Schizosaccharomyces pombe: one gene and its partner. The protein of the gene in region 1 purifies or fractionates together with the protein of each later gene. This does not show direct contact. Each region holds a gene or a part of one and is shown on either strand. Other genes may lie near its edges.

Region 1 (7,832 bases):
TCGGAATAATTTTTTCTATCGAATTGGTTGTTTTTCCTATTTTCTGCGGGATATTGCTAAGCATGTGCTTAATTGGCACTTTCAAAAAGCTTGCTGCCGAGAATCTTCTCAATGTAATGACAGTTTATCCAGCACAAAGCATTTTTTTGGCATGGTTCATTGGGATAACATTTATGTTTGAGTTTGCGGTTTTCATTTCCATGGTACGTAAAATTGTTCGTCCTGGAGTCCTGTATTTTTTGCGTGATCCAAATGATCCTCAATTTCATCCAATTCGTGAAATTTTAGAGAAACCTATGCTCTTTCAATTGAAGAAAATTGGATTCAGTGCAATACTCTATTTCGCTTTTATTATTGGCTGTGTTGGTAGCGTTATCCATCTTTTAAAGTCAACTGGAATAATTTTTCCTATTGAATTCACTACTAAGCCTGCTGTGTTTGAAGCACCAATTGACTTGTTAGCGTTAGAAATTCTCATATTTTTAAGTATTAAATTATTTAAACCTCTCGAACTCACTAGAAGTTTTTGGCGAACTTTGGTGTCAACATTCTGCAGATGTTTACGTCTATCATCATATGTTATGGGTCAAAGGTATAGTGATGAAGAGGGTTATTATCCCAAGCAATATTTTTCTTTTCTTAGAAGGATTATAAGCAAACCTTCGGATACCGAAAACCAAGATGATGGTGATAAGCAGAAAGCAAAGAAAGACTTTGTCCAAGACGGTTTCTTTTTGTGGTGTCCTTCTAAGGATGTTGTGCCAGTTCGCCAAGGAGCCATGCTTATACCTGTGACAGAAAATGGTTATGAAATTTTTGGTGAAAAAAAGAAGGTCGAAGAAAATGCGGACTATACCATTACTTATGCACCTTCTAATTTTTATAAGCGTTTGATCGCTTTGTTGTTATTTTGTTGGATATGCTCAACACTTGTGACAGTATTGTTAGTGTTTGTTCCACTTTCATTAGGAAGAGCTATTTATGCTTGGTGCTTTCCTAATGTGGTAAAGCACGATTTTTATGCTTACGCCATTGGATTTTACTCTATTTCTTTTCCAATGTATGCAATTCACGCGTCTGTTAAGTTTCTGAAACTTGACTATTTACGAAGCCTTATGAATAAACTAAATTTAAAAATTGTTATGAGGAGCTTAGTAATGGCGTTAAAATATCTTTTATTAGCATTCCTTGGAATATTTATCTTACCACTCTTACTTGGAGCTATATGGGAATTATACGTCGCTATACCTTTCCGAACGATATTTAACAGAGGGACTCTTGCTCTCGATGCATTCCAAAACTGGGTGATTGGTCTTTTTATGCTTCGTATGATATATTTTACTGTGACTTCTAATGAAGAGCGTTTCGTTTCAAGGTTGTTTCAAGATGCTTTTCGTGATAGATGGACGAATCCTCAAATTCTTCCATTATTAAAAAATGTTCTCATCCCTTTTACATCAGCCTTAATAGCCGCCGTTGTGTTGCCAAGTGTTTTTACTTACGTAACCTATCCTTTTCTTTCATCCATTTTCCCTTCTGCATCTAAAACCCTTATGTATCGGTTGATGCATCCTATATTTTTAGCATTACTTGGGCTAGCACTCTTGGGGCGCCGTTTTGTAGAAACTAGTAGTAAATGGTCGCAAGGAATACGTGATGATTTATACTTAGTTGGTACGAGACTGCACAACTTTGGCGAATCTGCTCCTCCAGCCATTTCTGAGTCTGCCGAAAAATAAAAGTCTAGTCATCTACTATTTTTCAGATTATCCTTCTCTTTGGAAAACTGGAGCGAGGACATCTGAAGTAATATAGAGCATTGTGAATGTATATTATTTGAATGATGTTTTTGTTTTAATTGCTACGAAACTGTTAGTTTAGTTGCAGGAAATTACAAAAAGTCATCGTTTGAACAATTGGTTTGTTATTGTTATATTGCCAGGCATCTTATCCAATTTATCGTAACTGGTATTATCATGATATGGTGCTATTTATTTAATTTTCTTTACAAAATTGAACAAATATCAATTATCGTTGAATTTCTTTGATGTATCTGATGACTGTATCAAACCGTAGCAGCGAAAATTTGCAGACAATCACTAGCAATGGATAAATTAGTTAATTACTAAAAAGAAACAGTTATAACAAATATGTTTACTACGGTTATGTGACAAATTTATGAAAATGTAAAAGTTCGTAGTATTGCATGTGTTGATTTTGTAATCCATTCAATACTAACTAATCCTTCGTATAGAGGAATATCAAAATACTTTATCACTTAATCAATTTAAATTTTACGATTATGTTGGCCTAGTAAAATATTCATGTTAAGGATTTTATGGCATTCAACAATAGCGATAAGCTGTAATATTACAAGTAATAAACTCCTACTTAATTCGTTTCCAAGCCCATTTATTAAAAAGAATAATTCAGTGTTGTTAAAAGAAACACTGCAATTCTCTAAAAATTAAAAAAGCCAAGAAGTGTATAATTTTAAGCTACTTTAATCAGTGAAACTAATTTAAAACCAAGAATGATTAAAGATATCGAAATAAACAATTTATAGCAAAATTTATTGGTGATAGAAGCTTTCACTTCGTATTCCATATGCCAGATAAAACTACCCACTTTTACTGACTATTCCAAAATCCATTTTGAGCAAAAGATCGGTTATTTTCAAGTGTTTTTATATTCAGGATTTTCATGTCAATCAGTTATTGAGCGTCATATCGTTGTTCAATTACGGTTTTCTTAACATTATAGAAACTGCTTTTCTAAAAAAAAAAAGAAAAAAAAAGAGCAGGCATTTTTATACTAAGAATCAGCGATAAAAGGGAAGACAGTTACATCAATCTAAAATCTAGTTTACGATAAATACTATTTAACTAAAAGAGAATGGAACCAAACGAAGGAGTACAACTGTTTTCGGCTTTTCCGCCTCCACCTCCATATTATAAGTTATTTACAAGAGAAAACATAGAAAAAGTAATTTCAAATATGGAGAAAGAAGCAAAACATGAGGATGACGCGAATACTTTACAACCTAAGACTGAAGAAGAAATAGAGTCGCTGGCCAAGCTGTTTAAGAAGCCGTCATGTCTCACATCTGGGACTTATCAAATGTTTGGTGACACATGGAGGGTAAGTTTATTTTTATTGTTTTACATTAGCTGCTTTTCATCTCTCACTAACTTATATCGCTTATAGCTAGACGAAGCTATACCTTCACTCAAAGAATTTGGAATCCCTGAATTATATAAAGATATAAAAGATGGAGAAGATGAAATTGAAGTGGTAGAATATGATCCTAAATCCAATGCGATAGTTGGTACTAGTTTTACTCGTGTACACGATTATGATAAAAATTCACCAATTGAAAATGAAAAAATTCTGGAGGATGATCAACATACGGCCATGAAAGAAAAAGATAATGAATCTGATAAGACAATGAAAGATGTCGAGGAAAAGACTGAGCCCTCTCTTAAAAAGGAAGAGGAGGATATACAAATGAAGGAACCTTTAGATTCTCAAGATACTGGAGCTGTTTCAGCTTCTTCGGTAAACGAAGGTTTCCGGGCAGATCAAAAATCAAAGGATGGAGAAACGAGTGATTTGATAAAAATTCCCCGGCGAGCTTATGAACTACGATTTTTATCCCGCTCACTTATGCTTAACTTTCTTGAACTCCTAGGGATTATGGCGAAGGCACCCGAACAGTTTCCTTCTAAGGTTGAAAACATTAGGGTGTTGCTGCTCAATCTCCATCATTTAATTAATGACTATCGTCCACACCAATCTCGTGAATCTTTAATTATGCTTTTAGAAAAACAATTAAAACATGAAGAGTCGCAGGTTGAGCTATTACGTACTCATAACCGGCAAATGACCGAAACTTTGGAAAAGTACAAATCATTAGATTTTAATATGGAGAAGGAAGGAGATGTGATTCAACAATTAAAGTCGTCAATAAAAAAGCCATTGTCAGGCGCTGAAGATGAGCAAAAGTCTAGGTCTATGTTCTCAAAAAATGACGAGAAATTAAAAAAATCGCTTGAATTAATGGAAGACGTGATAAAACGAGATCTTAGCTAATAAACCGGTTTATCTAGTAGAGTTATTTTGCTATTTCCTCTGCTTTTAATATTTGTTTTACAAACAAAAATTCATACTAACGATGAAAAAAATGTATTCTTTCTATTTTAAACAAATCAAAAAAGTTCGTATCCACTACGAAGCAAACCAAAATTTATATTTAAACGGCAAGATCAACCTTTTCCTCAGTGATCATGCTCTTGAAAGGCGCAAGCGCTTGAGAGACGTCCTTATTTACAAAGGATTCAGTCTGCTCGGGAGCACGTCCAACAAAAGTGGATGCATCCAACAAAGAATCTAGCTCATCATAAATAGGAGCAAAATAAGGAGTATTCTTAATACGCTCAATTAAGTCGTTATCCCCTCCCTCTTCCTTGACTACTCGGCCAGCTTGATGAGACAAGACACGAATCTGCTCGTGACACTCATGACGACTAGCACCGTGCTTAGTCATAGCCATGATAATGTTTTCAGTGGCCATGAAGGGCAATTCAGCACGAATGTGTTTTTGAATAACCTTAGGATAAATGACCATACCAGAAATAACGTTCAATAGAATCTTAAGAACGCTATCTGTAAACAAGAAGGCTTCAGGTAACAGAGAACGACGGTTAGAGCTATCATCCAAAGTACGCTCAAACCATTGAACAGAAGCAGTATTAAGAGCATTAGGAATCAAGTTCATAATATAACGAGCTTGAGAACAAATACGTTCACAACGCATTGGATTACGCTTGTAAGCCATAGCAGAACTGCCAATTTGACCAGCCTCAAATGGCTCTTCTACTTCTTTCAAATTAGCAAGGAGACGGATATCAGTTGCAATCTTATGAGCAGTAGCACCGAAAGAAGCTAATGGTTGCAAAACGTCAATATCGATCTTACGATCATAGGTTTGGCCGGTTACAGGATAAACGTTATCAAAACCGGAAAGCTTGGCAACCAATTTATCCAATTCCTCAACCTTGGCATGATCGCCCTCAAAAAGGGCTAAGAAGGAAGCCTGAGTGCCGGTGGTACCCTTGACACCACGGAAACCAATGTCATTTCTAGCTCTTACAAAATTTCTCAAATCCCATAAAAGCTCTTGAATCCAAAGAGTGGCACGCTTACCAACGGTAGTTAATTGAGCTGGTTGATAATGTGTAAACCCAAGAGTAGGAATGTCTTTGTATCGCAAAGACCACTGGCTAAGACGATTGATAACGTTGACTAACTTAGGGATCAAAAGATCCATGGCGCTGCGTAAGAAAATCAAGTCAGCATTATCGGTTACAAAACAGCTAGTAGCACCCAAATGAATAATACCAGAAGCAGCAGGAGCAGCAAGACCATATGTATAGATGTGAGCCATAACATCGTGTCTCTGACGCTTCTCTTCCTTAGCAGCGATTTCAAATTCTGGAGCTGTAATTTTGACATGCGCTTTAAGTTGCTCAATAGCTTCATCAGTAATTTGAGTTAAACCGAGTTGCTTTTCAGCAATGGCGAGATTCAACCACAATTGTCTCCAAGTATTAATACGCATTTCTCTTGAAAAGAGATGAGACATTTCAGCAGAAGCATATCTTGCTGTCAATGGTGTACTATATGAACCATAATCCTCCATATTCGATAATCTTAAGCTCGCCAAAAAATTTCTACCTGTTGTGGTGAATGGACAGTGAGGAACCAACACTAAGTAGTGCTCTACAAATGCTCCACCTTGAGAAGACCATCAGATTTATTATTTTGTAATTTCCATATTAATTAGTTAACGCGCATGAAAAATCAAACGATAATTTATTGTGCCTCCATGCTTCATATGTAGTATTCACCTAACCCACCAAGCAAATCAATTGAAGATCAAGTATAGAGGAGTAAAGGTGCCTTTCCACATATGTTAGCAATATTACAAAAGGGGTTATAAATTTACTTTAACCAATGCCTAAGTAAGAAAAAGACAGAGACCACTTCGTCAATTGAAACTTGTATTCTTAAACTAGTGAATATGAAATGTGAACTAGTAAGAGCAGAAAATTAATTTCTCTATAATGCCAAAATCTACTTCATCAGCAGATAACGAAAACCAAAATTATTTTGGATTATACTATTAAAATATCTTCACAGTGAAAAAGTAATAAACAAAAAACCATCAAGAAAAATAAATATTAAAAGTTGCAAACATCAACTATTAAATAAAGTGTGAAACAAAAAGAGAATTCTTGCTGTATTGGCATGGGTGTTTTTAAATTGGTCAAAGAAATATTCATGACAATCAACCCCAGATATTCTCAGATGCCAAGAATTAAGTGCTCATTTGTATAGGGTAATTAGATGTATTTTGATCGTTTTCGAGATAACCTTTCAGTAAATCAAAGGCTATATTTTATGGCCCATACAAAGGGCGCGCGACTTCAACTACAATTAAAACTCAAGCAATGGTGCAAGCACTTCCAACACGATACCACCAACTTTCTTGAAGTTGAGTTAACCAAATAAGAACCAAAACCAGTCGATCGGTCGGGTTGTCAACTTGCAAAATGCGAGTTTTCTCAAGCTCTGAGATAGGAAGAAGATTGGTGATTTTGTAAGACAAGTCAGCAATTGACTGTCTAGCCTCCATTTTTATATCGATTAAAGGTACAACCCAATGAACATATGTTCGGCGGGCATTCATGTAAAAAGCATCTATTCTTTCAACTAATTCTTCATTACTTAGATTACCATACATTAATAGATATTCAGGCTCAGGAAATTGGAGTGGAGTGGCTCTCAAAGGAGTATCATAGTGCTTTTCAATTTTCACTCTCGGAAACAAACCATCAGCTCGAAAATCGATTATACGAACACAATATGAACCACGGGCTTCTACAAGACTTCTCCCATCGATCAAAGGCTCGACTTGGATAATTTCTAAAATTGTACCATACTCAGAACAAAAAAGACGTTGACCACGAGCATTTCGAAGCTCTCGATGCTCATTATGACCATCACTTCGTGCTCTTAAAGGCATTGCAATACAAAATCGCTTAGAAGTCTCCAGACATTTTTTGATCATGATGTGGTATCGCAGTTCAAAAATATGAAGGAATGTCGGCATTCTGGGATATGCAAGCATGCTAATAAATAACGGAAGCCAACTTTCCTGTTCCTTTTCTTCTTCCCATGATTTTTGACGTTCTAACCAATTATCTGGGTAAAAATCTCGCAAAAATGTGGTAATAGAGTGGCTTTTCGCATGTTCCAACACAACAGGAGATGGGAGCCCAAAACGACAAGTCGGGCATTGAGGAGACTGGGTTAGTGCTTGCATAAGGCAAGGGCCACAAAATGTATGTCCACATGGAGAAACAACTGGGTCATAAAGCATGCCAAAACAAATTTGACATTCCAATTCTCGAGAAACATTCTCTTGTAATAGGTCCTCCATATGTAAAAATTCAGCTACTGCAGTCTCATAAGAAGATGAGGAAGGTATTAAGTTATGAAAAGTGGGAGGCAGCAGAGTAATTTCAGTCAATGCAGAAGTACAAGGTGGTGACGAAGAAAGACAATCGTCATGACAAATTTCCTCCTTTAATTCCAGCGGTACCAAACTCTGCTGAGAAATTTGAAACTCTGTAGTTTTAATCAATTCAACCACTTTGGAAATGATCACATCTTTCACTTCGGTCTCTACAGAATAATGCGGTTTCTTATGGTTGTAAAAGCAACATCTTGAGGGACTAACTTTTCCAGAGCTTTCCGAAGAATATGCG
Region 2 (4,606 bases), on another chromosome or scaffold:
CGTCTTCAGTACTTCGATATTATATACAAAACTTATTCAATAGATGTCTAACGAGCACACATAATACAAATAATATCTAAGAAACTTGTATTGTCATCATGTAACATAGAATTAAAAGTTTACACATTTAAACAAACTGAGTAATTTAATGTAGCTAAATAGATATAGTGCTAAACACTCATGAAACAGCAGATGAATAATCATCCTTCATTTTTTGAGTACGCATTTTGCGATTGAAAGATCCATGATCCATTATTTATTATATTAAATACTTGTGTTTTAGCAAAATTTATTACATTACTCCAAAAATTATCTTATGTTTGAGTATTGCTTAGCGAAGCTGCAATTTTCAACCCCCTTTATCACACCGCTTAAACATCTCATCTTAAAACGAAGTAGCGGCTTTGCTCTATTTTACTCATCACAATGGAAGATGAAATGCAAATAGACAAGAAGGAGGTGGAAATTGAACAAAAACCTCCTCGATTTGAAATTAAAAAGGTTCGTCATTATTTTTATGATCATGTTCTTCATGTGTATCAAATTTGCCATAAAGCAAAGTAAACTGTGAAAATTAATACCCAAAGATATATTTGCTATTTTAAAATAAGCATACACTTAAGTACTAGTTTACTCTCTTTGCTTTTTTTATGAGTTCTTCTGATTCATATTGCTTACCTTCAATTTAGTGGAATGCTGTAGCATTATGGCAATGGGACATTGTTGTAGATAACTGTGCTATCTGCAGAAATCATATTATGGACTTATGTATTGAGTGTCAAGCTAACACCGATTCTGCTGCTGCTCAAGAGTGCACAGTGGCATGGGGAACTTGTAATGTAAGTTTTAATTCGATTTCTTTCGTATTCTTAGCTCAGGACTGTTTTTAACAAATACAAAAGCATGCATTTCACTTTCACTGCATCTCAAGATGGTTAAACACTAGGAATGTTTGTCCTTTGGACAATCGTGAATGGGAGTTCCAACGTTATGGTAGGGTATATTAAGACGAGCCTACTTTACTAACTTTATCTCAGGTCATTAATAACATTTATTAAGTACTTACTTTTTTGTTGGTAAAAATATTTCAATGGAGCAGAGCGTTTTATTAATGAAATGACATGAATCAATTAAAATTTCCTAAAATCATGACTACTTGTGGCTAGTTTAAGTTTCCATGTGACTTTGAATTGTTATTTATATTTATTTACTCCAATTACTCAGATAGTGGACGAATATATCAATTTATTTTATTGCTTGTCAAATAAAATTTCCTACAGACAGTTTTTAACTACACATCATATAAATTAAGACATTATATCACTACTTTGTATACACTTGAAGAATTAGAACATTACTTAAATCATCAAAAGAAATGGCATACTTCTAAAGTGCTATTGTTAAAATTGAATAGGCATACAGACATTATGCTGCATATCGCATGACAGAATGCGAATCATTGCTTTCGAGAAGAATGTCAGTGGTGAGATACAAAAGCTCAGTAGTGCACGGATTTTCTATACTTGCCAATCAATTCACAAATTCAGTTAACTTTTAAATAAGAACAAACAGCTTTATGAAAATTACCATCTGATGTTTAAAACCTTCAGTTTATCAGACTTGGTGTTTTCGTTAATAGTGGGTAGGCATAAAAAGATTCGTGGTACTTTGACTCTTTATTCGCCTAATACTAATGTTTCTGTCGCCTTCGTCACTTCCCACTATAGAGAGACCTACATTCATCTGACTTTTTAAGTGATACTAAAAAGTCGGATACTTTTTATATAAAGACTGTAAAAAGCATCCCTATGTGATTGAATGTGTATATATCCATCTCTTTAAAGGTTTGATAGGGTAGGGTCATTTCAGCATGAAAGACGGTTATAAAATTATTGGGTTTATCTCATCTGGAACTTATGGAAAGGTTTATAAAGCGGTTTCATCTAATTCGAATGATAAACGACTGTTTGCAATTAAAAAGTTCAAAGCTGAGTCAAAGCAAGTAAGCTCGAATGCTCAACAAACCGGCGTTTCTCAAAGTGCTATTCGTGAAATGATGCTGTGTAGAGAAATTCAGCATGAAAATATAGTTAGCTTGGTTCAAGTTTTACTCAAAGATGGCACAATTAGCATGGTTTTTGAATACGCCGAACACGATCTGTTGCAAATTATTCATTTCCATAGCCGATCTAGAACAAGACAAATTCCACCATCAATTTTAAAAAGTATTCTATGGCAGATCATTAATGGTGTAGCATACCTACATGAAAACTGGATTATGCATCGAGATTTGAAACCAGCAAACATAATGATTACAGCTACAGGCAAGGTAAAAATTGGGGACCTAGGGCTGGGAAGGCTCATTCGGGATCCCATATTACCATTTTATTCCAGCGATCGTGTAGTAGTTACTATTTGGTATCGTGCGCCAGAGCTACTTTTGGGAGCTCACGATTATACCCCAGCAATAGATGTTTGGGCAATTGGTTGTATTTATGGAGAAATGCTTGCTCTTTCTCCTCTTTTCAAAGGAGATGAAATAAAAATGGAAGATAAAAAAGTCGTTCCTTTTCAGAGTACTCAAATGCTACGCATAATGGAGTTACTAGGCACACCAACAGAAGAACGCTGGCCAGGTCTCAAAAATTATCCAGAGTACTATCAATTATCATCATTTGAAGTTCGTTACTGGAATAATTTGCTTCCTCAGTGGTATCAAACCGTAAAAAATCGGGATCCGCAAGGGTTAGATCTACTGATGAAAATGCTACAATACGATCCAAAATCACGCATAACTGCTAAGCAAGCTTTGGAACACGTTTTTTTTACTTCCGATAAATTATGGACCACTAGGTACGTGTTCTTCCTTTTCCTATTTATCATCGAAAGAAATAAGCTTTTACTAACTCACTTTTTAGCCCATTTTTAAATCAACCTATTCATTATCCAGAAAGGAGAATTTCAGAAGATGATTCCGAGGTTTCCTCCAAACGCGTACTATCTACTTCACTAAGGTCCGAAAGTAAACGTTTTAAAGGAAATTGATTGTTAATGCTTCCCTTAAGCTATTTAAAAGATTATCTGTAATTTTCAATTAAATATTTCGCCTTTTCTTGGACGTATATTTGATATTCTGTCTACGCAGGGCACCGTCGTTTTATTTAAGAATACCTAAAAAACTCACGATTATTTATTCATATTTTTGACCATTGAGATACTAAAATTTTTTTTCAACTATTCTAATATATGGTTCAAACCATACATTTTTGCTAGTACATCCACGTTGTGACTCATTATTCTTATTGTTTTAGAGGGAAGATTCCAACAGCCATGTTGGGTAAGGAATGGGAAAACACTAGCTTTGCAGAAATTGGTCTACTACATCAAGCGCCTAACGATAATGACTTAGAAAAATTTCAACATGCTCTAACGTTAATGAGTGAGGCTGATAACTCTAGCGATGTACTAACTTATGATTTTTTACTGGATTTTCTCTAACTTGCCATAGCTTTTAATACCACTTATTAGTGACTTTTTAATATGGTTTTATTATCAGAAAACACCTTTAAAATGGATTCCTTTTCTAGGTCACTTTTTTAATACCTGGCAATCTTGTAGTTTTCCTCCCCGCAGATATTTGCTAGCTAAAATACTTTCAGGGAGAATTTCAGAGGTATGTGTAAAGAGAAAAAGAAAGCAGTTTATTTTTTTTTGTTTCGATACGTCAATTTTCGAACGAAACTTTTGTGATTGAATTTTTTTTTTGCCATAACAAATGCAAGTTGTTTGTTGGTACTAACTATGCATAGTTGCTGAAAGTTTCTCCTTTTGAGCTTGCCGCTTCTGTAACTAGCCAGGATGTAGTCGAAGCTGATTCCCTAGTTGAAGAGAATGAGTTACAGGCTTGGCTAGAAAAACAAGAACTTGTACCGTCTTCCTCTAATTTTCTAAATTCTTTTTGGATTTCAGGGGGAGAGAGAGAGCTAACGGAAGAGGAACAGGTAAGATTATCCTTTTTTTTTCAATTTTCGAGGAATTGCTACTGACATTTCGCTTTAGAATTCTTTACTTCAAAGCAACACGACGTACACAAATTCTGATTTGCCTGCCTCCAAGCAGCTTGAATCTTTTATTTCGATGAACCTTTCTTATAGTAAAGTTTTTTTCCTTCATCTTCTACAGCACTCTGATTCCTCGTTTAACGATAAATTTCTCTTGCTTCTTGCTAATATTCCCGTTACAGTTTCAAATGTAGAAGTCTTACTTTATTTATTGCAACAAGAAGAAAGCCTTGCTCAATTTGATCTTAACGGCAAATCTTTTCTTTATCACATGCTTGTATCCTTGCATAACCAAGTTACCAATACATCACATTTAGAAAAGCAACGAATATCCACTGTTGCGACTTTATTTATATCCAAACTATTCGAAATACCTTCTTTATCTGAGTATTTATCGAGCACATTGTTTTTAGATCTTCAGGCCTTTTGCATCGTTGCTTTACCGCAATCAGCTAAGCTATTCCAAAAAGTAAAAGCATTAAAAAATAACCCTTGAGTTATTGAAAAGTTAGTATAACTCTATTATTTATTCGTATCTATTTAGA

What was found.
Region 2: the proteins of med7 (region 1) and srb10 purify together in Schizosaccharomyces pombe (affinity purification with western blotting; 3 studies listed by BioGRID, with this or other methods). This does not show direct contact.

Annotation. Positions count from the first base shown.
Region 1 is NC_003423.3:4,169,747-4,177,578, forward strand, and holds med7 (mediator complex subunit Med7), read left to right. Parts: upstream 1-2,613; 5' UTR 2,614-2,895; coding exon 2,896-3,141; exon of another isoform or gene 3,142-3,207; coding exon 3,208-4,092; 3' UTR 4,093-4,252; coding exon of another isoform or gene 4,253-5,701; 3' UTR 5,702-6,042; downstream 6,043-7,832. Other genes in the region: ubiquitin ligase Doa10, read left to right, coding at 1-1,739; adenylosuccinate lyase Ade8, read right to left, coding at 4,253-5,701; SPOM_SPBC14F5.10C (ubiquitin-protein ligase E3), read right to left, coding at 6,506-7,832.
Region 2 is NC_003424.3:1,574,984-1,579,589, forward strand, and holds srb10 (mediator complex cyclin-dependent protein kinase subunit Srb10), read left to right. Parts: upstream 1-1,723; 5' UTR 1,724-1,870; coding exon 1,871-2,853; exon of another isoform or gene 2,854-2,918; coding exon 2,919-3,045; downstream 3,046-4,606. Other genes in the region: SCF complex, Cul4-RING and CLRC ubiquitin ligase ligase E3 subunit Rbx1, read left to right, coding at 427-501, 690-839, 903-993, 1,038-1,045; protein Not11, read left to right, coding at 3,331-3,462, 3,509-3,673, 3,810-4,001, 4,060-4,557. UniProt on the Schizosaccharomyces pombe protein: Catalytic component of the Cdk8 module/Srb8-11 module which is a regulatory module of the Mediator complex that regulates basal RNA polymerase II transcription.